Linked DNA regions of Pelodiscus sinensis. The protein of the gene in region 3 interacts with the protein of the main gene of each other region in a pairwise test. Links are inferred from orthologs where the notes say so. Each region holds a gene or a part of one and is shown on either strand. Other genes may lie near its edges.

Region 1 (7,002 bases), on a different chromosome or scaffold from region 3:
TCTTCCATACCTTTGATGCTGAATTGTTGGACTGAGAATAAACAGTTTCCCGCAGGTTGTTGAAGAGTCCTGCCAATGTAGCCCGGTGTCGTGCCTGAGATAAGCGTCTTCTTGCCACCTGGGGCTCCAAATCTTGCAGATGTGTAAGGAACCCAGGAGTTACCCTGACACATGGGCTGCTACAGTCACCAGATGTCTCCATCAAAAGCTGCAACGGAATGGTTACATTTTACTAAACAAATAAATAGCATTTCAAAATAGAGTGAGTCTACAGTATGCGTGATGGGCAGATGAACAAGTAAAATTGAGACAACTGTTGAAGCAGAACAATCCAGCTCATTTCCAGCAGGTTATGAAGGAAATATTAAATCACTTTCTGTTTTCCCTATGAAAGCAAACTAACAATATGTACTATAACTTGATCTACTATTAGTGGTGGGCTAGATGTGCACTGCAGTTTGAAACACACGAAATTAAAGCAGATGGGGCAGTTATTTCTTGCCCTGCAATGATGTAGTTAATCAATGTGCTGAGTGCTCCAAATTCCCACTGAAATCACTAGATGGCACTGTTCTTTGTGACATTTTCAGCCAAGTGGGAATTCACAGTAAATTATGTTAGATGGGGATAGGTGAATAAGCAATAGAAGCAGACCTTCTAAAGTCACCTAAATTCCCTTTTCAGTTAAATGCTAGTAGTGAAGAAAAAAGGAAAATACTTACAGAAATTACATTTAACAGAAACAGAAATTACTTTTTTATAGTGTTACCTGCTTTTTTAAGGGCCCAAACTGCCATTGAATACACTGGGAAAACACCCATTGTGAGTTGGAACAGATCAGATGCTGGTAAAATAGTATAGTTAAAATTGAATTAGGGTGGTCAAAATAGTACTGACACCTAGGAAATTATATTTTAAGGTAATTGTTGGTTTCCCTATGGCATAAATATCAGATATATTGATTTTGTACTGTACTATAGAACGGTATCCATGATTTACTGTATCAATTTACTATTTGTGGTGTAAAAATCTGTATGACTTTCTCAATAATGGCAAATGCCAGAGAAATAAAATTTGAACGTGTAATAAATATTAAAACTTCACAATTACTTTTCCATACATTATTGATGGCCTTTACACGAGGATTTAGACACAGAAATAAGCATAGTAATAGAAATGTAGCCATGTTAGTCTGGTGTAGCTGAAGCAAAATACAGGACTATGTAGCACTTTAAAGACTAACAAGATGGTTTATTAGATGATGAGCTTTCGTGGGCCAGACCCACTTCCTCAGATCAAATAGTGGAAGAAAATAGTCACAACCATATATACCAAAGGATACAATTAAAAAAAAATGAACACATATGAAAAGGACAAATCACATTTCAGAACAGGAGGGCGATGCGGGGGGGGGGGGGGGGGAGGGGGGGGAGGAAGGAAGGTAAGTGTCTGTGAATTAATTAATTAAGGTAATTCACAGACACTTACCTTCCTTCCTTCCCCCCCCCCCCCCCGCATCGCCCTCCTGTTCTGAAATGTGATTTGTCCTTTTCATATGTGTTCATTTTTTTTAATTGTATTCTTTGGTATATATGGTTGTGACTATTTTCTTCCACTATTTGATCTGAGGAAGTGGGTCTGGCCCACGAAAGCTCATCATCTAATAAACCATCTTGTTAGTCTTTAAAGTGCTACATAGTCCTGTATTTTGCTTCAAATAAGCATACTGAGGGCATAACACTATCTCCAGAAAAAGTCTGAAAAAGCTTGCTGAAAATACCCCAGAAGCATGAAGCAGGTAATTTCATATGGCTCAATCCCACAATCTTTACACATGCAAAGCTACTATACTATTGGAAGTCATTGGAAGATTTCCCTCTCAAAATACTGCCAGACTGTATAAATAGCATCCTTTCTGAGCAGACTGTCAAGTATCAACTGCATCACATTTTCATATTCCTACATGTTCTGTTCCTAAAAAAACTCCTTCCATCTTTCACAATAATTTAAAATACTAGCAAAACAAATTATGTATATTGTAATTTTAAAATTTCCATTGATTCAGGGGAAACTGGCTTGCCCTCACATTTCACTGAAATGTTTGGATGAAGATACTAATTAGAATGTTGCTGACAATTTTGTTATTATCGCTCAAATGAGAGAGATTATTAATATTTATTTATTATTATTAATGGTCCCAGAAGTTCTATAATGGAACGAGAAAAAAAAAAAGATCAAACAGAGTTATCACTTTTAAAAGCCTGAATACGTCCTTCAGATCACTACAGAAAGAGACATTGTAAAGAATCATAGAAGAATTCATTAAAGTCTGACTTTCATATTATTTAAAATCATATAAACACAGATTAAGAGACCCGTTAGGAATCAGCAGCAACTTCTGCACCTTCAGAGCCCTGGCTCCCCTCCTCTATGACCTTTGCCCTTCCTTTCTGAGTCCTGCCCCACTGCGTATATAGATTTTGGCTTTCCCCCCATTTCTGTGGCTCTGGTCCTTTCCATGAACCTGCCCCCCTTTCCCCGTGGCTCAGTCCTTTCCTATGGGGCTCGCTACCCCGTCAGGATGAGCTCTGTTCCCCTTTTCTGTAGCTCCCCTTTCTAGGAGCTCGATCCCTTCCCTTTGAGCTCTGCCCCCCTTGCTACAGGCGCTGCCCCCTTTTGGGGAGCTCTACCCCTTCCCTGTTAACTCTGCTCCCCATTTCTATCCAGCTCTCTTCAATTACAGACAGTCCTCGAGGGGCTGGAGGCCTCTGGCGTCTCTGCGGAGCATCCCTCCGGCCCGACTGGCTCTAGCCCGCCCGTTCCCACGTCCCAGCCCCTGCCGCAGCTCCCCCAAAACAGCTCGCGTGTGCTGCCGCCACCGCCCAGCAACATCGCCGCACGTGGCAGGGAGCCAATCACAGCTCAGGGGGAGCCTCCAAAGGCCAATAGGAGAGCGCCGGGGACGGGCGGGAGAACGTTGGCGCTGTAGCCACTGCCTGAGAAGGCAACAAAAGCGCGGGAAAGGGCCGGGTGGTGGTAGGAGGAAGAGGTGCAGGGCGGGGGCAGGGCAGCGAGGAGTGGTGGGGTGACCCTGTAGGGCTGGGGGCGCCTCCCTCCATGCATCGCTGCACTTGTGCACTCAGGGCTGTACGAGTGTGAACTGGGCGAGGAGATTGAACACCCACGTGCTCCTATGTGCGGTATCAAAAGCCCCCTTCTGCCTTTCACGGGCATCCCAAGAATTAAAGGGCTGGTGCCTTATCCCTTCTTTCTGAGGGACCCGGTGTTCCGCCGAAGTGTGTGGCCGATGCCAGGGGAAGCCCAGGCTCCCTCCCACTGACAGTCGCACTGCGATCTTGCTGGGCTCCGGAGCGGGGTGCGGAACTCGCAATGAGCGCAGCAGGGAGTAGCGTGTTTTAAGACAGTGCGGTCTGCGAACACAGCCCTGCAAAGCCCGGCATGCAGCGTGGGGGCCCGCGGTGAGCCATGGGGAGCACGGCACGCCGGGCGCTGTAGTCTCTGCTAGTGACAGGGCCGGGAGGAGTTTGGAAAAGGAGGCCGCTCAGCTCCTGTCATTTTGCATCCTCTGTTCCGCAAGGCCCGGCAGGTGCCGAGTTTCTAAGCGCACCCGCCTGGCTTTGCGCTTTGGATACTGGAGTCGATGAACACGGGGCGGGTGCGCTTTAGTGAGCGGCATCCTCCTATCGTCAACGAGGCAGGAGCCGCGCTGCTGGAGGCAGCGAAGTGGCTCCGAGCACCGTGTGAATTCGGCCCGGCGGCGCTGTCCCGTGGGGCCGAGACGGGCGCAGAGCAAGGGCCGATGTAGCGCGCGGTTGTGTCCGGGGCCGGATTTCAGCAGGAATCAACCGCGCAGGGCAGCGGTCAGGGGACCGGCCTCTTCCCCGGTCCCGCCCCGCGCCCCCTGCGGGGGAAGGCAGCCAGGGGTGAGTTAGGGGGCGGGGCGCAGCGGGCGGGGGCGGGGCCACTCTCGGGGGGGCGGGGCCGCGTAGGCCGAGGCCGCCGGCTCGCTGCAGCGGGGCTGGCTCCTGGGCGCCGGGCCTGGCTGCCGGGGCGCGGGCCGATGGCGGCGGCGACTGAGCGCACGGACGAGCTGGTGCGGGAGTATCTGCTCTTCCGCGGCTTCACCGGCGCCTTGAAGCAGCTGGATGCGGAGATCAAGGCGGACAGGGAGAAGGGCTTCCGGGTGAGGCCGCCTGGCGGGCCGGGGTGGGAAGGCTGAAGCCGGTGCCTGGGGGTGCGGTGCTGGTGGGGGGCTGGAAGGGAGGGAATGAGGTTGCTGGCGGGGGCTGAAGTGGGGGACGGGAAAGGGGTTGGTACCTGGGAGTGGGGTGGGATGGAGTGGGGGGAGGAATGTGCTGGGGGGCAGGGGGAGAGCCCCTAGCTCCTGAATGCGGGACACCCAACACACTCTGTGCTGGACCCTCTGGGTTTGGTGTGGGGTTAGTTGCTTTGTAATAAATAAGTGTTGTAGGCTTAGTCATTTGTGCTCTGTAATGAGCACATGAGATGGGTGTGGGGTGCGGGCATGTGAGGGACGAGGGGATGGGCACAGCTGAGTTCCTTGTGTAACAGTCGGGCCAGGCTATTGACTGTTTGGTGCTGTTGTGGGATTGAGGTACCTGGGGATTTTAGTGTTGGGAGGGCATTATCTCTGTTTAGAGTTTCCAGCATCTGTTCCTGTATCTTTGTGCTTCCCTGAGATGCTACAGCTGCCTAATGAGATCCCTAGTGGACTTAGTGGAGTCTTCTACTTTTCTTTACTCCTTGGTAGGAGAGACTCTCTGTTTAAGGAGTAACTTCTGTAACTGTGTTGCTGATTGTAGTGGAAATGTTTCCTTAAAGAGGGGTGACCAAAACAGGCCACTTCACCTTTAACGGTGTTAATTAATATGTGTTAATTACTTATGCTAAATTCTGTTCCAGCTATGCATTTAGTAGTGACACTCTTGAGTATGTGTACACTAGCACTTCTGTTGCTGTAACTTATGTTGCTCAGGGTTGTGATAAAAACAACCCCCTGAATGACATGTTACACTAACAGAAGTGCTGGTGTGGACAGTGCTGTGTCAGCCAGAGATGCTCTCCTGCCAACTTAGCTAGCACCACTCGTTGGAGGTTGTGGGGAGAGCTCTCTCCCATTGGCATAGACTGGCTACATGGGAGACCTTACAGGAGTGCAGCTGCATTGGTACAGCGGTGCTGCCAGGGTTGCTAGTGCAGACATAGCCTGAGTATGTTTCCCAGAGGCGAAGAAGAGCTCTGTGTAAGCTCAAAAGCTTTTGTTTGGTTTGGTCTTCACTACCAATTTATGTTGGTATAACTGTGTCACTCAGTGGCATAATTATACCAAACTAATCCCGGTGTAGACAGCACTATGTGAACAAGCTACTCTAGGGAGGTGGAGGTCATATGCTGATAGGAGAAGCACTTCCATTGGCATCTTCTGTAAGCACTACAGAGGCAACACAGCACTGAAAGTGTGGACAAAGCAATATATGTTAGTCCAGTAACAGACAGTACATCACCCACACCATCTCTCTAGTCCCCTAAAAAAGGAGGGTATTGCAATTGCAATGTACCCTGAAAGTTGCTGGATTCTAGTTTAGCCTTACTTCCTCTGGAAGCTTATTCCTACATAGCTTATTTCTCTCATCTGATAATGCTATCTCCAGCTACCATGTGTGTCAATTGGGGTTGTGTAAACTCTCTTGTTCTAGAGAGGAGCAACTGTTAGCAGGTCAGTGGAGGAAATAAGGTTGTTTATGTGCCGAGGTCCGACCTTTGCAGAGCTTTAAAGACCAAGGCTTTGAACGGCAACAGGAGTGAATTGGGAGCCAGAGGTGGGATCAGAGGATGAAACTTACAAGCTAGTGGTTGTCTGTCTCGCTGAGGAGGTGGGCAGCCACATTTTGTCCCTCCTGTGGCTTCTTCATTATTGACACATTAATTCTGAGACACAATAATTTACAGTAACCTAGACTAGAGGTGTAAGATTTATGGATTGCCGTTGCCATTTGTCATGAACATAGGGCAGAGTTTCCTAGAAAGCTGTGGACGTCTGTCTGTATTGCAGAGCATGAACCCTATGCAGAATGCAATATTCTGTGAAAGCAGCTATAAGAAATGCAGTTGTTATTATGATCCTTATATTGCAATTGAAAGAAAATCTGCAGTTCCTAATAAATGCTTTGTAATCTACATAATTTAATTTGCATGCAGGTAGTACATATATGCCCCCCTTCCACCCGTCACTTTATCATCTGTTTATGAACTAACTGCTAGCTAGCTCATAGCTTCAAAGTGAGCTGTAGTTGAATATGGTATTAATATGACAAAGGATATAGCATTGGAATGGACTTCCTGGATCAGTGAGTCCAGTCCCTATTGTAGGCAACCTCATCATGTAAGGGCAGAAAGATCTGGAGGGGAATCAACAACTTTGACTTAAGCCACTCTTGTTCATGAGCTTTTAACAGATTATTTTATATGAACAATTTGGAAGCTTTAAGCATTAGATAGACACTATATATACTTATATAGAATTATACAGAACTTATGATCTCTGAAAACAAAATATTGGATTCAGTCTCACTATGATCCACAGGATTCATTTTCTGTGAATTCCAGTGAGCGCATCTTTGTTTGCCCAAGGAATAAATGATACTGTAACCTTGTTCGGAGCCTATATCTAGATATTTTATAGATGGCAAACTTTCTCTGCCACCAACTGCACAGCCATGTATAATAATCTTATTGAATAAAATGAAAACCTCCTGCAGTATATCTGAAATCCAAGCATAAGGCCCAGAAAGTCACTGATTTGCAAAAAAGGTGCAAAAAATAAAGTGATAATATCTGATGGTGAAAAGTAAACAAGATTTTAAGCAGTTTCAATTTATTGTTTTTGTAACCAGCATAGAATCTCTTTTTTTTTTTTCTGAGTCTCATGTTGGCCATCAGAAATTGGCACACTGAAATCCT
Region 2 (7,231 bases), on a different chromosome or scaffold from region 3:
TACCCAATTTCCTTACTTGTCTTTTGCATAAAAGTAGAGTGTAGACAGTGCAACTGCATAATGTGTCCCAGTTATTAGACTGAAGCTGTGTATTGGGAGATATCAGAAATGTCAGTTAATTGAGCTTCCTGATTAATTGAGTGCTGGATAACAGAGCTTTTACTGTATTTGTTTACAGGATTCCCATAACAACCCATGTTTCACCATGGGACACTGGATGCTCTAGTCATTTGGATTATTTCTAAACCTCCACAAGTACTTGAATATTTCTCTTTTTTTTTTTACACCTGACTCTGGAAGGCTTTGACACTTTCAAATTCTGTTTACTTCTGTGGGATTGAGGGCTATTTATTTTGCTGGGTCGGACATTGATGGAATGTTAAGAAAGTTCAAGATCATTCTGATAAGGAATTGTGAAGTTTTAAGGCTTACATGATACGAAACAAATCCCTAGACACGTATTATAAGTGTGAGAAATGCAGTGATATTTTCCCGACTCCAAAGGAGGCTGTTAGAGGGAAAACCAAAAACTACTAAAACCAAGCAAGAAGCCATCTTGATCCAGACCAGTAACCACAGGAGACCAAGCCATTGCTCTTGCAAAAAAGAAAGAGACTATAACACTAAGCTACCCTCTGCTAGGTTCTTGACATATAGGTATACCTTTAACCTTACTCATCTTACTCCAGACATGCGAAAAATGTTTTTATTACAAACTGCAATACATGGAATTCTAAAAGCTCCAACACTGTTAAAAACAACATAAAAACCCCCACCTTGGTTCCACATATATTCAGTTCAAAGTGTAATTTACATAAGTCTGTTTCCCCAAAGAACCACACAATGACAAAGCCTTTATTCTATTGCCCAGTTCTGTTTCAACTTCCCATTCCCTGCCAGACACACATCCTCTTCTATTCACATTGATTGTGTAGCTGAAGTTGAAGTAACTTAACTCGGCTTTTGGCGCTATCCACACTTCAGGAAGTCGAAGGGAGAACACTAGCCCTTCAACTTCCCTTACTCCTTATGGAAGCAGGACTACCAGCATCAACCAAAGTGCTCCTTTCAGTTTGAATTAGTGTGTCTTCACTAGACCTACTAATTTGAACCCTAGAAGATCGACAGTGGTAGCTTTGATCTTCTCTGTAATGTATGCATGCCCTTACTGACATCTTTCATAGAGTGAGAAAAAAGCAGGCTTTCCTATTGCTTTTTCTGCCACTCCTGAATATCTCTGTAATAAAGCCACACATCTGTGCTACTTTCCCAAGCAAAGGGGTTGTTTTCCTGCCAGCCCAGGAATGAGTCTGACACTTTATCACAAAGCAAATTATGGCTTTTTAATTATAACCACAGCAAATATATTTAACTGAATTAGACTAACAGTAGTAGCAACAATAAGAAAACAAAATAACAGCAGAAATTAATAGGGTTAGAACAGTTAGCAGATCCTTATTTATAAGCAACATATAGGCCATTTCAGTCTTAGATTCAGCCTTCATATTTAATCGCACCTCAACTGAATTCAGCCTGTTGAGTTGAAATCCTGCAACATGATGTGCATGACAGAGCCCTGTTAAAATAAATTGGATTCTGTGCAGGCTTGGGATCCACTTGCATACAACAAATTTCAGGATCATGACTTGGATTCTCTCAGGAACGTAAATTGCCACATACTGTCACCACAGTTTTTAGAGCTCTACACACCACATTTTTGTCTCCAGAAGAAATGTTTCCACTGTAATTTTACAACAAGATAACTACCATGCTATAGTTATCTCACTGGGAGAAAACCACCTTTTTGGCCATGAAGACAAAACCTTAGGCTCATCCTGATTTTAGGCTAATGCCTCAGATTCAGTGTATTTGGCAACAAGAAAAGCAATGAGTTTAGTCAGTCTTATTATTCCAGTAACACATCAATGCTACAGTTAGAATATGCTCTCTATTATGTAAAACTCCTTAAATCTATTAGGTCTTGGTAATAGATAAGCAAACTGGATTATTTTTCAAATGGAGGAGAAAGAGCAAGTTCTGACCTCTGTCTAGAGGATGTAAATGATGGATCAGGATAGAGCATAATAATTATTATTCTTCCTACTATTCCTAGAGCTAGACCAAATCTCAGGTCTAGACATGTTAATTCAGGTGTATGGATAGGCATAAAGATCATCAGGAGAATCTCATGATTGTCATGCTAGACATGAGATCTTCAGAAGGTGTTTGAGGGATGAATGGCCTGGATATTGCAATGTTCCATGATGGTGGTTTACATGACCAGAACCTTCCTTACCCACCTGCCTCTTTTTATCCATGTTCTGTGGCTCTGCTTCCTCCAGAGACGATTTAGTTAACTTAAAAATGAAAAAGCCTGCCAGGTCTATTAGCAGAACACCGAACCTGTGAAAGAGCCATTCAAGTGGCAATGAAGACTTTTAACAAGCATTTGCCACACCCGGGTATATACTGCCAGTTTCTGAATTTACTGTGGGCTCATCTAGACTACATTCCTCTGTCAAAAGAGGAATGTAAATGAGCCCGATCGAAAGTGCAAATGAAGCGTGGATTTAAATATCCCACGCTTCATTTGCATATTCGTGTACGATCACTGTTTCACAAAAGGATGTTTCGGAACTGAAACCGCAGTCTAGACACAGATCTTTTGAAAAACCTCTGTTTTGAAAGAACCGGTACTCCTCATTTTTTCAGGAGTATGGGTTCTTTTGAAAAAGGGTTTGTTTTTTTTGAAAGAACCACGTCTAGACTGTGGTTTCACTTTTGAAACACCCTTTTTCGAAACAGCGATCGGACGCGAATATGCAAAGGAAGTGTGGGATATTTAAATCCATGCTTCATTTGCACTTTTGATTGGGCTCATTTACATTCCTCTTTCGACAGAGGAATGTAGTCTAGACGAGCCCTGTGTTAGGACCTTAGTTTAAATTTTGCTTTAAAATATTTCATTAGTGGATTGCTGAAGATTATAAAATCCCACCTCTAAAAAAATCATCTCCCCCCCTCCCACCCCGGGGCTGCCATTGTGCATAGGGACAACAGTTTAATTGTACTGCATAGGGCAAAATGCATTGATTTTCTTTCAGCTAGCAAGGTTCTGGTCAGATAAACAGATTAATATTTTCAATATTAACAAAATAACAAATGCATTTGATGAGAAGTGGGTTGTTATGATGTTTTTCAAATGTCAGAACTGTGATTTACAGATTTAAAAGGTTTAAGGATTTCTGATACTGTCAAAACCTCAAACTCACTCAGCCTAATCGTCAAATGTATTGTGCCCCTTCATATCCATGGCTTTGGAAGTACAGTATGATGTGTGGGCTGACAGGAATGATTTTTTTGTTTTATTTTGATGAAATTAAAACACCTAATATTCTGCTGTTACAAACTAAATGATGCTATTGTGCTTTTCAGGTGTAGGAACTGAGAGAGCACACAGCAAAACTACAACAGATGATAACAATGAAGAAGGATGACGTTAAAGTTAAGATGCTAAATTGAGCCCTGGAGAGTTCAGTTCAATTTCAAGCTTTGTTTCCAACATCTTGAGTGACTTTGGACAAGTCACTTAATCCCTCAGTTCCCTGTCTGTGAAATTGAGACAGTGTTTCTTCCATCTTCTTTTCCTCCACCATTTCCCTGTCTTGTCTGTTTAGATTATAAGCAGCTTGGAGCAGGAACTAACATCTCTTGCTGTGTGCACATAAAATATTGTGACCTGCCTCCCAGCACTGGTTGGGCACTCTAGTTACTGCCATAATGGAAACATGTAATAAGTAAATAATAACATAACAGTAATAATAATAAATACTGATGCAAAGGCCAATGTGGACCACACAACGCTGTCCAGCGGGGGCTAGGAAGGTGAATTCCCGGGTCTGGTACCAGCAAGACAAGGTAAGGTAATATCTGTTATGAATTAGAAGACCAGTGATGATGAAAGGGACAAGTTTCCAGCCACAGAGCGCTGCCCTTCAGCGCTGGATACCGCTCGCAGGTGATCAGGTACCGCTGTGGCGCTCCAGTGTCCGGACCTTGCAATAAGCTACCCTCACCTAGAGAGGTGGCAGGAGGGGCTGTGGGTATTTAGCCACCTAACCCGTTTGCCTCCGTGGCTCACCTTCCCCCTCTCTACGCAGCAGGGGGCGCTGCAGCTCCCCTTCTCACTGCCCCCCCCCCCTCCCCGTCAGACCTTGTTTTGCCTGCTGGGCGGTCCCGCGCCTGCGCAGCCGGGCGGCGGCTGAAGAGCCGGAGCGCAGAGGCGGCGGCGGTTGTAGCGGTCCCGTGGTGCTGACGGCTCCGGGCTCAGCTGCTGGGCCAAGATGCCGGCCGTGTCGAAGGGAGACGGGATGCGGGGCCTGGCGGTCTTCATCTCCGACATCCGGAACTGTGAGTGCGGCGGGGGGGTTCCGGTGGCTGCTCGGGGGAGGGGCTAGCGGGAGCTGCCCTAGGCGGGGGGGCGATGATTGGGGGAATCTGCCCAAGGGGGGGGGGCGATTCGGAAGCGGCTGTTGGGGGGGGGGGAGACTAGTAGGGGCTGCCATTGGGGGAGGGGCTGCCCTAGGCGGGGGGGGGTCATTGGGGGAGGGGCTGCCCTAGGCGGGGGGGGTCACTGGGGGAGGGGCTGCCCTAGGCGGGGGGGGTCATTGGCGGAGGGGCTGCTCTAGGCGGGGGTATAATGGTTGGGGGCTGTTGGGGGGAAAACTAGCGGGAGCTGCCCTGGGAGGGTGATTTGGGAGCTGCCCTAGGCGGGGGTATCATGGGGAGGCTGCTGGGGGGGCACTAGCGGGGGGTCATCTGGGGGGAGTAGGGACTGTCCTAGGTGGGGGGAGGAGGAGAGATTTGGGAGGAGCTTCTGGGGCACTAATGGGAGCTGCCCTAGGAGCAGGGGGTGATCTGGGTGGAGTTGTGGCTGCCTTAGCAAGAGGGCGATTTGGGAGAGGTTGCTTTGGGCACTAGCAGGGGGCTGTCCCATGGGGGGCGGCTGTGCTGAAGAGGGGAGGCAGATTGCAGGGGGTGTTCATGCTGGGAGGGCTTGGCTTGTATGGGGAAGAGTGTTGTGTGGTCAGGGGATAAACTACTCTCTGTCGGTGGGTTTGGAGGGTTTCTATGATGCTAGTGTGTCTATTTCAGTGGGTGTCTGGCCTGTCCTCTCCTCCTCCCTGCCACATGCAGGCTTGTTTTGAGGTCTCCAAGGTCTGCTATGTCCTCCGACTTCTTTCTTAGTGACTTGTGCTGTGTGAGACAATCTCATTCGGGTGATGGTTAGTACCTGTACTGAGTTATTGGTTGTGTGAGTAAAATGTGGGATTGGGTGGTGGTGGGGGGGTCACTTCAGCTCTTATGCTGTCATTCAGCCCATGGAAAGGAGTGTTCAGTGTGTTGTGGAGAGAGTCTTTGGCCTTGTTTGAGAGCAAAGGTTGTGGTAGTGGAATTCAAGTCTATCTTTCATTTGGTTTAAACAGGTACAGCCAAACAGCCTCTGTGGACATATTTAAATCTGTTTTATTTTAATGTTATGCAATTTAGCCTAATTCAGAATATTACTGAATTAAGCTAAATCAAATCAGTTGTAGGCCAGTTTAATTTTGCCTGCAAAGGGTGTTTTTTGCCAGTCTAAATTGATTTAAAAAAAATCTATTTTAGTTAAATGTAACATGCAGGCAGAGCTTTTATCCCTGATCTTTGGGAAGATCCAGGGTGAGGTGAAAAGAGTCATGAAAAGAAAACTGTGCCTTGGGGTGATGGCAAGGGAGGGTGTGAGTGAGTGAGACACACACACATGCACACATACTCTGCTGTGTCTGATAAAGAATTCAGACTTTTCTTTAACATGCACCATCTGCCCCCACCTTTTCCCTTTATGTGACCTTGGGCATTGGATTGAAGCACAGAGGTAACTCTTTTCAGAATGTTTGCAATCAAACATAGCATGTTCATGAGAACTCCTAACTACAAAATTAGTCATTGTTAGTCAGATATCAATCAGTCTTCCAATGTGTTAAGCTGAAGTGTTAATAACTTAGGTAAAACTTTCCTTATAAGAAATTCCCTCACAATGAAAGTGTTACTTTAATATTCCTCCATGATACTGATGAACTAATGGGATCATGGAAGCAGTTTATCTTCTTTTGACTATAGCTAATTTGCTTACAGAAACATTAGGAATTGTGGCTTGTGCTACATATATGCAGACTAGAGGAGAGGCAATATGATATTTCACAATCAGAGCTGCATAAAACCATAATTCCATGACTGGAAGAAATTAAACTTTGCATGTGGTAAGTGAATATGACCAAAACTCTAGGGATCCATGATAACTAAAAAGCTGGTGCTCATTTCTGCAGCTGAAATGATTCTCTTCATGTTCCATATTGATAAACTGAATCTAAAATACTAAGGAAAACCCACCCACTTCATATTTTTGAGACAAAATGCAATGAGTGGTAATGGAGGCAAGGGATGGAAGAATGGCTCAGTTGGAGTGTGGGTAAGATGAAAATAGGAGAAACATGGTCATTAAGTAAGATTGGATGTATAGTAGCAATGTTAGATATTGGGTAATTGAATAGTTGAGTAACCACACAAATTCTTATCAGTTACTTGACTATTCTATAGACCCCAGGGGGCAGGGTCAGCAGCCAGTGTTCTCTGGCCTCACTCCCAGGGAGCACCCTGCTGCTGCCTACCTATCAGAGGCAGTAGCATGGGGTTCCAGGCAGGAACTGGTCAGCGAGGAGAGCCACTTTAAAAACTAGCTCCCTGCCACCCTGTGCTGCTGCCTCTGACTCCGAGGCAGTAGCATGTCTATGGGGGGTCCGAGCTTCCCTTGGACAGAGGTTGCTCTGTCTCCCACGGAGCAGCCTCTGTTCATGGTGAGCCTGGGCCCATCGCAGGCAGAGGCTGCTCTGGCACCAGCCCCTGTCCATGGGGAGCTTGGGCCCGCCATGGACAGAGGCTGCTTTGTGGCAGCCTCTTCCCCTCCCCCCTGCACTGCTGCTTCTGACATGCAGTAACGTGGGTTAGGGCAGGTGGCACTGCAGAGCTGGTGCTGGGAGAACCAGCTTTTAAACCGGCTCTCCCCCCTCTTGCTGCCTCAGAGGTTGCAAGGGCAGGGGCAAATGCATGTAGTCAACAAGATTAACCAATAAGCCTAGGCTTATTGGTTAATCATATAGTTGACTACACATTGGCATCCCTAATGTAGAGC
Region 3 (8,021 bases):
ATTTGCTTAGGTTTACTTTTCATTAGTTATTACTTTTCATTATTTTTGGATGTTTGTCTGGCAGGTTTTTTTTTGTAAATTTCAAATAAGATTCTCTACCTCTAACTACAACACTTCCTTCCTGTTCTGGCATTTATAATTTAGAACATTATACATTTTAACCTAAGTTTCACATTTAGTTTTACAAACCTCAATCTGATTTGATTTACTTATAGGAATTTGTTGTTTCAATTTGCATTTTATGTATATTGAGTGGTACATGTAATCAATACATGGCATATATTATATTCTAGCCAAACTCATATTTTCATCACTTAATACATACAAAATTCATAATGGTCCACATAGTCTGGGAATGGATAATGTATAATGGGATTATGTTGAAGGAAAAGATACCATTTTTCTTTGACGGAAAAGCTGAAAATTTTGGCATTCTTTTATTTTTGAATTCTTAAACATAATTCAGTTTTAAGGATTACATGCAATATGACTTTGACAAAATACCTGTTTCATTATAATGTCATACTACTATATATTACATCATAATGTTTCAACCATCACAGAATATTTTTTTAGTCAAATACAATAAACAATTCAAGCCAATCCTGTCTGAGCAATGAGTTGCTGAATGCTTAATTGATAAAATGAGGCTTCTTCATTCTACATTGTCGTAAACTTCAGAAAAGAGTGACAGGATTGATTAAAGGATTACAAATAATCTTATAGTAGACACATAGACTGAATACTTTGAATCTTAACAGAGACAAGGTTAAGGGACTTGACTACAGTCTATAGGTATCTCTCAACACGGGGTAGAAATATTGAATACATGTCTCTTCAATCTAGCTGAGAAAGGTATGACATGAGCAATAGCTGAAATATGAAGCTAAGTCAAATTGATGCTAGCATATATTTTAATAGTGAGACTAATTTAACTATTGGAGCAATTTCCCAGGGAACACAATTCAGTGTGCAACTGCAGTAAATTAACATAAATGACTTTCTACAATTATCTGTGCCTCTGAAAACCTGGCATCATAATGAAGTTAAATAATCAAGAATGGACAGGACTAAGGGTACGTCTACCCTGCAACACTTCCGAAACAACTAGCGCTATTCTGAAATAACTTAGTCTGCATCTACACAGCAGGCAGTTATTTTGGAATAGTGTCAAAATACTGTCAAAGTGGAGGACTTCTTACTCTGACTCCTGTAACCCTCATTGTAGAAGGAATAAGGAAAGTCAGAGGAAGAGTTCTCTATTTTGAAATAAGTGCTGTGTAAATGCTCCCAATTTCAAAATGAGCTATTGTGAAATAAAACTGACGTAGCTCAATTTGCGTATCTTATTTCAAGTTAAGCCTGGCAGTGTAGACACACCCTAAGAAAGAAAACTTTAATTCTTAACTTCAGATATAATTCTAGAAAGACTCCTTGGACAATCCTCAATCTTACGTTAAGCATCTTTTTCCGAGAAGATGGAAGCTTAATTTGTGTAGTATGAAAATCTATTTCAAAGTGTCTTTTCTTAGCAGGTGGAGCATATACTAGCCATATAACTTTCCTAGTCTATGCAAACTTCAGCACTTAGTTTTCCAAAAGCTGCATATATTTTGTTGCAGAGTATTTGTTACATTGATTAAATTTGCCTTACTTTTTCTAGCTGCTATAATGTGCATAATAAGGGGATTTCAGTTAAATGGGTTCAAGCAGCCAGTTATATTAAAACCAGCAGTTGAAACTGTGGAAAATTCAGTGGAACCCTACATTGATTTTTTTGATTTGCAAAAATTGCATTTATAATGACAGAAGTATTGACTTAAAAAGTAGTTTATAACAGTATGCTGCGAAATTAGTATTACTTTTTCACAAAAGAACAAAGGTACCCTTGGTACAATTATAGGAAGAAGAGGAGCCAGGTGCTTTTCTGTAAATCAGAGTACTTGGAACAAGTTTTATCTTCAGAAAGGCAAACATTTTCAATTCAGTGATGCTGAATATATACAAGTATGAATGATTCAAAGTAAGAGGTCTATATAGAATCATGATTCGATGTAGACTCACAGATTCTATAAAGATTCATATGAATCATACAATCATATGCAAAATGTCATGCTGGCATGAAACACAGTACTAAAGCCCCATTCTTAATATAACCCTATTTTAACTTTGACCGACATCTGTCTTAAAACTATGGCTTCGAAAACAGAAAAATGGGATCTAATTCAGATTAAATACTCTGCTTAGCAATGTATCACTGGTTCTTTTCAGTCTTTTAGCATGAGTTCTTGTAATGTCTCCTTTTAGCCAATGTCAATATCTTTGTTCTATAGTCCATGTGGTAATAGTGGAAAAATTAAGAAACCTTAATTGGTTTTTCCATTTCAACAGAATAAAAATCAAGAGGACGTGCTACTTGGAAAGTAGGTGTATACTAAGTGCACTTACTGGAAACTTGTATATTCTGTAAAACTATATTGAGTACTGATAGCACAAGTAGTGTTCTGGAGTGTAGAATGAAAGTTGTATAAAAATACTATTTGATCTTTGCAACCTGTTCAGTCTAAAGTAAAAAACTACTTTTAAGAAGTGTCTTTGAGCTTAAAGAATTTTTGTCGCTGTACTCAAAGAGAAGTCATAAACCTCATTGTCTTCCTACTTCGTTTATGTGAGTACCAGCTACCTGAACCCTTAGACAAGGAGACAAATGATAGCATTTGGCTGGTGCAGACTCAGAGGCATCGTCTTTTCTGTAGCAATGTCTTAGCTCAGCTTGTCTGATCCACCTGTAATTAGGAGAGTGTACCCAGATAATACTTTCAAGCAAGAAATGAAGGAAACTACTGCTGAAAACTGGATCTGAAAAAAGTGAAAGGATTTCTAGAGATATACATGGAAGAGCTCCATTCAAATTTTGTCACAGGTATTTTCCTTTAAAAGTGCAAGATGGAGCTCAGAGCTCTACTTACCCTGCTGTCCCTTTCCTCTGCATCCTGGTCTGTTTTTAAAACTTGGATCAACCTATCTAGTTATGTCACTCAAGGGTGTGAAAATTCATTTTTCAGAGACACAGGCAGCCTTCAGAGACACAGTTATGCTGCCTTAAGCCTTGTTGTTGATATCATTAGCTCAATGGAAGAATAATTCTATCAACCCAACTACTGCCTTGCCACAGGTGGATTTACCACAGCAATGGAAAACCCCTTCCAGTGTTGTAGCAAGTGTCTACACTACAGCACTATGGGAAAGTAGCTGCAACTCGTCACTAGTGCTTACAGGGTAGATTTACCCCATGAGGTGTATAGACGATAGGCCAGGGATGGGCAAAATACAACCTGTTGGCTGGATCTGGCCCATCTGCCACTTCTGTGTAGGCTGCCTTGGTTTCTGGCAATTAGGACCACAGCAGAGGATGGAGTCCAATTGCTGGTGCCCTGCGTGCTGCAAGGTGCGCAAGTGTGAAGGGCTGACTGGGGGATGCTAGCCTCAAGCTTGCCCCTTCTGCCTGAGGCCCTGCCCCCTTCTGAGTCCTGGAGTTAACTTCTCCCCTCCCCAGGAGTCTGGCAGCTGTGTAATACCCACTGGAGACTTTTTCTTCATTGAGTTTTATTTCTTCTTTTCACTTACTAAATGTAAGTTGTAAGTAAAAGTTTAGTATTAGTATTATTACAAATTTAACAAGTGTTCATAAAATAGTTTGCAATATCAATTGCCTTCTAAGAGAAGCTGTGGATAATTGTGTATTCAGTTAATTACTAAGTGCAATTTGTTGTATAAAAACATAATGGAGCCTTTTCATTAAAATAGTAGAACTTTGTGGCCTGTTTTTGCAGAGGGATCATTCCACAAATTAGTGCCCATTCCTGCCTTAGCCCTTGGATGCATGCATGTTGTTCAATTTTAAACCTACAGGGATGATGTCATTCAACTCAACCTTAGGATATGGGTGTATTACAGCAGCAAGTGTATGCCGCTAGAGTACTGTACCTTGTATGCTTCCTGGATCTATGGAAGTGGGTTTTTCTGAAGTTCTGAATTACATAATCCACTTCTGCAACAGGTAGCAGAGTCCTTCCACTGCTTTAACTCAACCTTACCCTTGCTCTAGACATATCTAAGTCTAACTTTCAGAGAACAAACTTATTTACGCCCTGAGCTCCATTTCATTCGCAAATAGGAGTGTTCACATCAGAATTTTATGGGCACTAGCTTCTTGTCTGTCATTAAGTCCCCTGTCATGTTCCTGACTATTAAAGGACAGACAACACCATGGGGCCTGAACCTAGTAGCAACGGAAATACAAGATCTGGGTGTAGATGGTCCCTTAGGTTGCTCTAAGTAGGGCATACCCCCAGCGGCCCTCGTGCAGTCTGCTGTGCGCTGAGGATCATGGGTTGTGGGAGCCCAAGGGAACGAAGCCAGCACCATGCGACCGGCGGACTCTGGCAGACCGGCCCAAGTTTGACATGAACCAAAGGGGCACTAGGACCCGACAGCGACTTTCGCGAGAGGAGGCGGGGCAGAACGGAGTGGTTGGGGGCGAGGGGAGTGCGGATGAATGTATGCCCTCTCAACCAAGTTTGTGTTTATCTGAAGGGTGACCCAGCCTCCCTCGCTAGTGGTGATTTGGCCAGTATTCCTGAGCTTCCTTTCTGATTGGTGGTTGAGGCTGTCACTCTTTAGTTTTCCAACCCCCTCCCTGAGGATAGGCCGGGTTCAGGGGCATGCGCGGGGACCTTTGCTCTCGGCCGGGCAGGGAGGGTTAGCGTGGGGGATGATGGGAGGTTTCCAAAATGGCGGTGAGGCGGTTTCGAAGTGATCGCAGACCCCTGCAGCGTCTCCTCCATTCATTGCAGTGACGAGCGGCGGCGCGTGCGGACCCCGGCGGCTGCAGACACGGCGGCGCGGCGGCCGGGGCGCGGCAAGCGGAGAGTTTCTGAGGCCCTAGGAGGGGGCAGTCCGTGCGCTGAGAGGGGGCAGGCTCCACGCTCCCGGGCGCTGCGAGGCGGCTCGGGGAGTCCGGTCCGGGCGCTGCGATTGCCTGGCCCCTGAGGGAACATGGCCACTATGGAGAAGCTGATGAAGGCCTTCGAGTCCCTCCGCTCCTTTCAGCAGCAGCAGGGTCCGGCTGCCATTCCCGAGGAGCCGCTCCAGAGAGTGTGAGTGTGCGGCCGCGGGGCGGCCAGGCTAGGTCGGGGGCAAACCTAGGAGGGGACCATAGAGCTTTCTTAGAAGCTGCCGCCCCAGCAGCGGGGGTGGAGTGGGCGGGGGAAGGGACGCCCGTGGGGGGGCCTGCCACTGGTGGGGCGGATGGGCCCTTGATGTTGTCTCTTGAGCTGACGGATGCGTGGCGGCGGGTTCCAAAGCAGTTGGGTTCCGTTACAGGAACCCAGCAAAAGGCTCTCACCAGAAAGAAAAGGTTTATTAACCTGCTCCGCAGTGAGGGTCGCTCCCCCGAGTAGAGCAGCAGCTTCTTTAGGCCGCTGCTATCTGCTACGTAGATATATACACACACATACATACACCTCGTGACAGCCAGGGAGCCTCTCGCATGCTCTAGCGAACTCCTGGAATAATAATAAATAGTAATTCACGTGTGTGCCCGCAAAGCAAGGCTGGTATTCTGTACTCAGCTGGCCTTTTCTCATTGGAAGAAGATAATTTAATAAAGTATCCTGGTAATTGGGTATCCAGAGTCTAGCATGTACTGAACTTTTATTTTTGAGGGGGAAAAAGAAGCTTTATGTGAAAGATCCTTGGTCGGTAGTTAGGTTTGTTTTTCTTAAAGCAGCAGTTCTGTTAAAACAGACAAATTATTATAGTAATTATGATGTATACTATAAAATGTGAACTATGAGACTGATATGGAGGAATGAATAACTTTAAAACAGCTAAAACAAAATACAGGACTATATAGCACTTGAAAGACTAACAAGATGATTTATTAGGTGATGAGCTTTCGTGGGCCAGACCCACTTCTTCAGATCAAATAGTGGAAGAAAGTAGTCACAACCATATATACCAAAGGATACAATTAAAAAAATGAACACATATGAAAAGGACAAATCAAATTTCAGAACAGAAGGGGAATGGGGAGGGGAAGGTAAATGTCTGTGAGCTAATGATATTAGAGGTGATAATTGGGGAAACTATCTTTGTAATGGGTAAGGTAACTAGATCCTTTGTTCAGACTCAGGTGTAAAGTGTCAAATTTTAGCATGAATGACAGTTCAGAGGATTCTCTTTCAAGTGCAGTCTAAAAGGCTTTTGAAGCAGGATGCAGGTAATTAAGTCGTTGAGACAATGTCCTTTCTGGTTGAAATGGTAAGAAACTGTTTTTCTTTGTGATCCTAATATCTGTTTTGTTGGCATTGATCCTTTGGCGAAGTGTCTGAGATGTTTGTCCAATGTACGTAGCAGATGGACGCTTTCGGCACATGATAGCATAAATTATATTTCTGGATGCACAGGAATATGTGTTCTTGATCTTATAACTCACTTGATTGGGTCCAATAATGGTATTGCAGAGTGAATATGTGGACAAAGCTGGCAATGGGGTTTGTTGCAAGGGAAGGTACCAGGGTTGGTATTAGTGAAGTATGTCCAGTTTAGTATCCTGTTCCAGTATGGGCTGTAGTTTATTGATAATGTGTTGGACAGGTTTAAGTTGGGGGCTGTAAGTAATGACAAGTGGTGTTCTATTGTTGGTTTTCTTGGGTCTGTCTTGAAGTAGATGGTTTCTAGTCTGGCTCTTTCAATGTGCTTTTTTATTTCTCCGGGTGGGTAGTTGAGGTTTATAAATGCTTGGTAGAGATCCTGAATTTTCTGGTCTCTGTCAGTGGGATTAGAGCAGATGCAGTTGTATCGAAGGGCTTGACTATAGATGATGGATCGTATGGTGTGTTCTGGATGGGTACCCTGGGTTGGAATTGCATCCCCAGAACTGTCAGCTGGCTGTGGCTTTGGGTGCTGGTCCATCCCCCAGCAGGACTCAGGCTCTCTTCTCTCCCCTTTCAGGCTTCAGTCATCTCCATGTCATTATCCCCACACACTTATTTTTTAATAAAAGTCCTGAATAGGTCCTGGGAAATAAACAAAAATTAATTAAAGCCCATAACCTGTCTGTGAATTTTACTAAAAATAAGTGTCAAATTCTTAACCTTAATGATGACTGTTCTGGACTCTTAACTATAATGCTTGGGTAGAGGATGAGTACAAGGAGCTGTTCAGTGCTACAGTGCTGTAGTAGCACAATCCTTGTGATTTTCTTTTTAAAGTCTTGATGGAGCAGGTGTAGAGGGCCCCAAATTAAAATCTTTATTGTCTAAATGCTGAATGTAGAAAACGGTGTTCTTCCTGATTCCCAGAGTATGAGGGAAAACGGAAGGGCTGTGGGTGAAGTGATTTTTCTGACATCTATGTAGTGAAATTATAGTTGGAGTTGGTTCCAGGATATTAGAGACAAAGTCGATGAAGTAATATCTTTTATTGAGTCACTTCTGTACACTAAAATATATAATCTCCCCGATCTGTCTTTCTGTTTTCTGACTTGCTGAATGTTACTGAACTGCCAGAAGGAAGTCTGCAGTCCTGGTGTACACCCTGATGTGGGACTAGTTAAACAGTTTCCTCTCATATTTGGAGAAAGTAGCAGTGAATGATTCCCTCCTCCCATTTTTATTTTTACAGGGAAGTGTTTAAGAAGAATAATGCTCATATTCCTGACCTGTCCTTGGCTGCTTTCTTATGTGGCAGTGGGATGATCCCAGTGTTTGTGTATCTGTTGTGCAGGTGCTTCTTACAATCTTGAGCAGGGGGATAGTAAGTGGACTCTGGGCTGAATGTGTTTCACCAAGGCTAGCCCCTGGCTGGCTGCCAGTCATTTGTTTACCTGCATATCTGCAGGCACAACTGCTTACAGCTTCCGTTGGCCTTGGTTCTCTGTTCCTGGCCTGTGAGAAGCAGTGATCTGCCCATACCCACAGTTCCTGATAAATGCAAAATAATGCATTGGAAAACAG
Region 4 (7,705 bases), on a different chromosome or scaffold from region 3:
TTGAATATGAGTCAACAGTGTGATGCTGTTGCAAAAAAAGCAAATATGATTCTAGGTTGTATCAACAGGTGTGTTGTAAGCAAAACTCGTGAAGTCATTCTGCCGCTCTACTCTGCACTAGTTAGGCCTCAGCTGGAGTACTGTGTCCAGTTCTGGGTGCCACATTTCAAGAAAGATGTGGAGAAATTGGAAAGGGTACAGAGAAGAGCGACAAGAATGATTAAAGGTTTAGAGAACATGACCTATGAAGCCAGGCTTCATGAACTGGGCTTGTTTAGTTTGGAAAAAAGAAGATTAAGGGGGGACATGATAGCGGTTTTCAAATATCTAAAAGGGTGTCACAAGGAGGAAGGAGAAAATTTGTTCCTCTTGGTTTCTGAGGACAGGACAAGGAGTAATGGGCTTAAAGTGCAGCAGGGGAGGTTTAGATTGGACATTAGGAAAAAATTCCTAACTGTCAGGGTGGTCAAATATTGGAATAAATTGCCAAGGGAGGTGGTGGAATCTCCCTCTCTGGAGATATTTAAGAACAGGTTAGATAGACATCTGTCAGGGATGGTGTAGGTGGAGCTTGGTCCTGCCTTGAGGGCGGGGGGCTGGACTCGATGACCTCTTGAGGTCCCTTCCAGTCCTATTATTCTATGATTCTATGATATTAGGGCCTCCCTGAGACCATACAATTGTGGGTCATGAAACCTCACCTGGGCATGATGGATGCTGCCATGAAACTAACAGATCAGTATTCAGAGGCAGACTTTCCCCAAAAGGATGGTCAACCATATAAGGGTCCAGAGCAGGGAGGATGACTGAAGAACCCAACGCAGGAACAGGCATAGACAGGTAGAAGGAAATTCCAAGGAGTTCCAGCTGAGGCGTCACATTTATTTGCTACCAATGTGGGCAGCCTGGACACAAGAAATGGGGTTGCCCATACATGGATTGTAGCTTTGCCAAGTTTTGTGGCTGAGCCAGAGCTAAAGGGAAGAAAAAGGGCAAAAATTAACCTCCATTTTAGTGATGGTAGGGAGGAAACCTCAGAGAGGCTTATGGATACAGCCACTGCTTGCTCTCTGGTCCAGAGGGAGCTCGTAAAGCCTCACTGGATGATTCCAGGAGCAACTATGGACATAACGGTGTGTCCCTAGGGATAAGTGGCATGGGTGTACAGCCTTTGGCCTGCAGTGCTATACACTGTTCTTATGGAGGGAATACTGTACAAGCTGGGATAGGTGCACAGTAAGCTTTGAAGGAGCTGCCTGCTGCTTTATCCACAGAAGCATATTTGCATGTGAAAAACGGGGGAACTGAGGAGCAGGTGCATAGTACCACTGAAACTTCATAATCAAAACTCAAAAGAAAGGCCTCCAAGATTAATATAGGGGTTATTTTTATTTTGCCTTCTGGTTTCTAAGCCTTTGGGATGCACTTGAGTTACGTTTTCAGGCTTTTTTCTGTACTCATGAGACCTAGAAACATTGAATAGAAACAAAAACTGAGATTATCAGATCATAGTGTTCTGACCCAGAAGGGACCACCAGATCATGTAGCCTGACCTGCTGTACAACACAGACAACCACCACTACCATTACCCACACATTAAACCCAGCAACCAAAATTAGACCCAGGTATTGCAGCCAAACCCAAATATTACATATAACCATGTCTCCTGTGGCTGGGGCTTTCAGAAAAGCAGAACAGATTAAGAGAACATAAGAATGACCATACGAGGCCAGACTGAACGGCCATCTAGCCCTGTATCCTGTCTTCCAAAAGTGACCAATGCCAAGTGCCTCTGAGGAAAGGAACAGAGTGGATAATCATCAAGTAATCCATCCCTTGTCACTTGATAAAACAGAGAGAGAGAAATATTGCTTCTGGGGTTGTGAAACTTTCTGCCTCTTTGACTAGTCTATCGTCAAGCGCGGAAGGAATAGATTGCTAGTGAATAAACTGTTGCAGTATACCCCAGGGTCTCATGCTGCCAAAGCAGTCTAGAAAGTTACTGTATCACCTGAAATCCAGGATAGAGAGGTACTCCAGCAATTCACCAGGTATGCAGAGTTACAACACAACTCAGGTTTGGTACAGCTACCCCTCCCTCATGAAGGGAGATGTCCTGGGACAAACCTGGGAGGTGCTGCAGAACTACACACCAGTTCCTGACACCATTCATTATTAAAATTTGTTGCCTGTTGTGTGAGTTTGACAGGGAGGAGGAGCAAGCAGTGACCCTGTTTGGGAGTAGCTGGGTACAGGAGTAGAGCACTAAGCCCTACTAAGCCCTCATCAGGGAGGTGCTGATGAGTCACCAGGAAAGTTGCTGGCAGTGAGTAGTTGTTGGACTATGAAGAGGATGTTGGGTGGCAGTGGAGTGAGGGACTGGGGGTAAGTGGGGAATGTTGGGGGCTATGGCCAGTAGGCCAAAGGTGTTGGACAGCGAGCAGGATGTACACCAGGCAACTGGGATGCATGAGTGCTGTCAGAATAAGTAGAGTCTACTAGACAACCTCGACCAACTTGGTCTGATCATCCAGCTAAATTGGATTTATTGAGCATATCAGGGAATCTTGCCCTTATGTTAAGTTTGCAGAGAATATTGATGTTGTAAAACTGGTATTTTACATGACCCATCCATGGGCTTTTTACTAACTGTATTGTGCTTTTGATATGCCTTGCTACTTAAAGTCTGTCACATAAATACTGAAACAAAAGACAGGACTATGTAGCACTTTAAAGACTAACAAGATGGTTTATTAGGTGATGAGCTTTCGTGGGCCAGACCCACTTCCTCAGATCAAATAGTGGAAGAAAATTGTCACAACCGTATATATCAAAGGATACAATTTAAAAAAATGAACACATATGAAAAGTGCTATATAGTTTTTAAAGTGCTACATAGTCCTGTTTTTTGTTTCAGCTACACCAGACTAACACGGCTACATTTCTATCACATAAATACTGAGTTACAGATAGCTAATGTTGATATTTTATATATCTATATCTTCATCTATATTATTAGAAGATTCACCTTGTGTTGCTCCGGTCCTTTGGAGGCCTGAGGATATAGAGGTGCAGGGGTTGAGGGCTCAGGGCAAGGAGCTCAGACCAGGAGGCTGAGAGGTTGGGGGGCTCACTGGGTCTGGTCTGTTGGTGGCAGTGAGGGTGATACTGCTCTAAATACAGCTCCTCCCGGGACAGGTGGGGCTGGCCAGACCCCTGGTGGATCCTCATGGAGTGTGTGTGCTGGGGATGGGCTGGTGGCCCCCCCAAGTGGCTCCTTGCAGGGGGGTGGGGACAGGGCTGTGCTGGCCAGCAGCACCCAAGCAGCTCCTCAGGGGGAGGAGAGCAGGACTGAGCAGACTGACTAGCCCCCCTGCCAGCTCATCTTGGGGGGGAAGCGAGGCTGGGCTGCCCAGTGCCCCCACAGTGGCTCCTTGCAGGAGGGGAATGGGATTGGAACTGGGTTGCCTGTTGGCTCCTTGTAGGGGTGGGGCTGGACTGCCCAGCTCCCCTCAGTGGCTTCTCATAGGGGTTGGAGCCAGGCCTACTGGCTGGTGGGATTTCTGAGCCCCTCCCCCCCCATCCGGTGTTATAGCAGAGAGCTGGGCGGGGGGGGGGGCACTTATCTGGGTCAGTGGCTGGCCACTCTCTTCCTGGTGCAGCAATCTCCCTGTGGTCACTCTGCAATATAACTGTCCCCTGTGCTCCCTGCGGTCATGGTGGAGCATAACTGTCCCTCCTCTCAGACCCCTCCCTTTCCATGTTACAGAAAACAATCGAATTCCAAGCACATCCCCATTGTCCTGGCAAAACCAAGCCTTGACTTGCTTTAAGTTAGGATACCAAATTTGGTGGTCCTGACTCTAATCATTTTGGAGGAGTCCTCTCAGATAGATGCACAAAATCTCTAAAATATATAAACAGAGACACTAGTGTGTGAAGTCTCATAACGGATGGTTCGCAGACTTTCCATTAGATAAAGTTTATTGGTAAAAATTAGTGACAGAATAATTAATCACCAATATCACTTCCGCAGAGTTCCATGCATTCTCAAATTTAGCACTACATCCCTGACTATATCAGTGACATTACACATACAAATGAGCTAGCCAAAGCAAGTGTCAGAAAGTTTTCTTAAAGTGTGAAAAAATCTGGCTGCACAGTAATCAAACCACTTCCATCCATGAAAATGTGAAGACTTTCAAAAAGACAACCAAATTCCCCCCTTTTATAGTAAGCATGACACTTTTCAGCCCCAAAGGATAAAGGAGGGTAAAAAACGGAGACAAATATAAGCGCACCTCCAGAAGTGCTTGCAATGCAACTGCTTCCTCCCATTACCTGAAGGGAGAGGAGCACAGCACACGGAGGAAAAGGGCTGGTGGGAAGGAGAATTTTTGTCCAAATCCCAGTAGCCCTAAAACCAAACAAAGCCAAGTCTGGGTAAGTTCCCCAGGCACGTGTGTTGCTTGTCACTGGAGGCTCGTTCCTTTGCTTTGCTTCTTTCCCTTACGCTGGCGCAAAGAACGCGCGTCCCTGGCTGCTCCCTGGCATGCCCCGCGGTGTTTGCCCAGGCTCTCCAGGGGGAAGATGGGCGCCAGGCTGACAAGGCGCCGGGAGGGCGCTCTGCATTCGCGTGTGGACGCGGGGAGCCGGGCTCGGGGCTGTCTACACAGGGGAAGGCGCGGCTCGGGGGAGGCGGGGCCCGCTCGGCCATATTGCAGCAGTGGGAGCGGCGGGGCGGGGTCAGAGGCGCGCACAGGGAGCCCAACCCACCCTCCGGCCGCTGCCAGTCCAGTCCGGTCCCGGGTGTTGCCCAGTCGCCGCAGGGAGACAGCCGGGTAAGGGGTCTCCCAGCCGGAGCCGGGGGAGCACGGGGTGGCGCAGGCAACAGGTGTTGCGGGGCTTAGCGCGCGTCTCCTGCCGCCGCTCGGTCTCCCCGCCTGCCTGGGGCTCCCGGGGCCAGGTGCTGCCTGCAGAGCGGGAGCAGGCGAGCGAGCCCTGCCGGGTCGTGGTGTCTGCGGACCGTAGGCTAGAGCCCGCCTGAGGCTTGGCCGGGCTCCCTCCCGGTCCTTGTTTTAACTTTCAGGGCAAAGGGAGGCAGCTGCTGGGCCCCTCGGGCGGGATTCTTCTGCCTGCCCTCCCCGGGAGTCGGGGCAAGCTGCTTTGTGAGGGAGGGTCTCGGTGCTTCTCTCCGACCTGCTGGCAGGCAGGCGTCGGGGGAGCGGTCCCTGTGTTGCAAACCAAGGGCTGACAATGGTTCCAGTTTCCGCCCCCTCCTCCTTTCCCAGGTTATTAATCTTATACCGCTTAGGAAAGGTGTTGAAATTGTACTTAGGCTTATGGGTGTGTCTGGCCCAATGACCTTCTCTGGTTGCAGATGGATTTTTTTTTCCCCCACTGGGCGAGGTCACTTATGTGGTTTTTTTTTTTAAATAAAATAAAACCAGTGGAGTTCCCTAGTAATTGTGGGTCACGTATGAATCATCTTTGCTGCTCTCCCTCGTTATTTAAGAAACCGAACTGAGATTTTAAGCTTCTTTTACTTTACCTCCTCCTCAGTAAAAGAGAACTTTTTCTACTCACCTGTTACCAGATTTACGAAAAAGAAAAAAGATCTTCAAGCCACTGCATGACCATTTGTTTTTGGAATAACAGAACCGCTTTAAGATCTGAAAATGCCCAAACCGGTGAGTGATACGTTTTATGTCTTGTATCTTGTGGTGTTTAGTATACATTTTTATGTTTTTATATTAGTAACTTACTTTTTTTAGGTGACTATTTCCTTCTAATAATTTTCACAAACCAATCACTCTATAGTATATCTGGTCTCAGTTCTCATCATCAAAGGAAATCTGAGCAGCCCCTTCAAAAGATGAGCCTCGGAGCTTAAATGTGTAACAGTTAGACACTAAAAAGAATGGATGGAATAATTGAGACACTGGTTTATAACCATCTATAGTGCCACTTTCCTCTCAGCTATCTCCCTCTGTCTATTTTTTCCCATGACTAGAGGGGTGCTAATGGTCTCTTTCATCTTGAATGGTCCTGTGAAATAGCTATTAATTATTTTTGCTAAACTGTCTGTTCCACCTTGTAATTAACTGCAACACCCTGAGTGTATTTCCTAGATCCAAAGAAGAGCTCTGTTTAAGCGGAGAAGCTTGAATATCTTACCAACAGAAGTTGATTCAAGAAAATATATTCAAGAAAATATATTACCTCACCTACCTTGTTTTTTTTCTTTCTATGTTTAGAAGGATTATATAAATTAATACATCGTAATTTGAGTCCTCCATGCCAGTTCCAAATTGTTAGAAGAGCAAAGCAGCATGATGAACCCATATATCCATCCAACTTAAAAATCAAATGTTGGGTGGGGGCAGGTGGAAGTGAGGATGTACTTAAATGACACACACACAATGTTATAATTCTAACAATCAGGAATAGAAGTTTGATCCTCCAATTAATTTAAATGTTAAATTATTTGTTTAAACATCTTTAATTTTAAATTTTTATACTAGTATTTATATACCTTAATTCAACTATGCAAAACTCTACTACCCATGAGTAAGTAACTGTTTTCAGTGGGCAAAAATATAATTAATTTTGTTTGTTTATGGTTAACATGGATGAGCAGAAGTTACACCTTAGCTGGTAAATTTTTTGTATTTTTTCAGCATTGCTTTAAAGCTGTGTATATACATGCATTCCTTCATAAAAGAGCTAATATATAGCCTGTGGATTGATAAGTTTCTGAGGCTATGTCTGTTTTTTAGTGACTTACATGTTTTGGCTTTTTTTTTTTTAAAAAAAAATTCATTTGCTATTGAAAATAATCATTCCAAAAGAGAAGAATTATACTTTGTAAAGCATAGAAATGATTCTTTCTAAATGCTGTCAGTATGAAGCCATCAGAACCAAAGAATTTTCTGGTTCCACCACAATTTATATCTGAAAATGGGTTTAGTAATGGACTTAGACTGGGGATGGGAGGCTTGATAAAAATGATACTGTGCTCTTTGGAATGATATTGAAACTAATATGGGAAATTAAAATTCACTGAGCGGGTCATTTCTAGGACAAGCATGCCAAGGTTTTCCAAAGGTGCTGGGTGTTAAAACTCATCGGAACTGCAGGTGCTCAGCATCTCTGAAAATCAGTGCTTTGTTGTGTTAGGATAACTGTAAAACGCTCTTTCTAGGCTAAAAATCAGAAGTTTTTAAAAATCAAACACATTTTATGTTGTGTTTTAAAACCTTTATATGTTGGTAGAAAAATACTAATCCTTAAGTAACTGAAGAGAGAGGTATTTTATGTTCCCAAATGCAACTTCTAAGGTTAGCAGTTAACAAAGTTGCAACTACAGTATCTTGTTTTATCATATGGGGTAGGTACAGCATGTGTCTCTCTAACAGAGTCCTTTATCTCTGTTTCTGTCAAGTCAAAGTCAACATTAATATAAGCGTTCTTCTCTAACAGCTCACAGGAAATGCTATATAGGATTTTATTAAGAGGCCTGATTTTTAGGTAGAAAACTTTTTTTTTTCTGGGCAGTTGTGATTTTTTTTTTTAAATGCTGTTTCCAACATTGCTACAAATTCATGGAAAACCTGTTGCTATTTAGGCATGTACCAAATAAAAAAATTAATTCATTCAGGAGACTAAAGGCCTAATCAAAAGCTCATTGAGTTCAGCGGGCTTT

What was found.
Region 1: the proteins of HTT (region 3) and WDR91 interact in binary tests that used the Homo sapiens proteins (3 or more experiments, as listed by UniProt). The link is inferred for Pelodiscus sinensis from reciprocal best matches to the Homo sapiens genes HTT and WDR91.
Region 2: the proteins of HTT (region 3) and AP2A2 interact in a two-hybrid assay, tested with the Homo sapiens proteins (2 studies listed by BioGRID and IntAct). The link is inferred for Pelodiscus sinensis from reciprocal best matches to the Homo sapiens genes HTT and AP2A2.
Region 4: the proteins of HTT (region 3) and EZR interact in binary tests that used the Homo sapiens proteins (3 or more experiments, as listed by UniProt). The link is inferred for Pelodiscus sinensis from reciprocal best matches to the Homo sapiens genes HTT and EZR.

Annotation. Positions count from the first base shown.
Region 1 is NC_134711.1:85,552,483-85,559,484, forward strand, and holds the start of WDR91 (WD repeat-containing protein 91), read left to right. Parts: upstream 1-3,984; 5' UTR 3,985-4,081; coding exon 4,082-4,204; intron 4,205-7,002. Other genes in the region: STRA8 (stimulated by retinoic acid gene 8 protein homolog), read right to left, coding at 11-208, 2,746-2,892.
Region 2 is NC_134714.1:119,009,205-119,016,435, reverse strand, and holds the start of AP2A2 (AP-2 complex subunit alpha-2), read left to right. Parts: upstream 1-4,228; 5' UTR 4,229-4,343; coding exon 4,344-4,410; intron 4,411-7,231. UniProt on the Homo sapiens protein: Component of the adaptor protein complex 2 (AP-2). Adaptor protein complexes function in protein transport via transport vesicles in different membrane traffic pathways.
Region 3 is NC_134715.1:116,690,481-116,698,501, reverse strand, and holds the start of HTT (huntingtin), read left to right. Parts: upstream 1-5,019; 5' UTR 5,020-5,058; coding exon 5,059-5,159; intron 5,160-8,021.
Region 4 is NC_134713.1:112,894,407-112,902,111, reverse strand, and holds the start of EZR (ezrin), read left to right. Parts: upstream 1-4,684; 5' UTR 4,685-4,841; intron 4,842-5,562; exon of another isoform or gene 5,563-5,596; 5' UTR 5,597-5,678; coding exon 5,679-5,690; intron 5,691-7,705. UniProt on the Homo sapiens protein: Probably involved in connections of major cytoskeletal structures to the plasma membrane. In epithelial cells, required for the formation of microvilli and membrane ruffles on the apical pole. Along with PLEKHG6, required for normal macropinocytosis.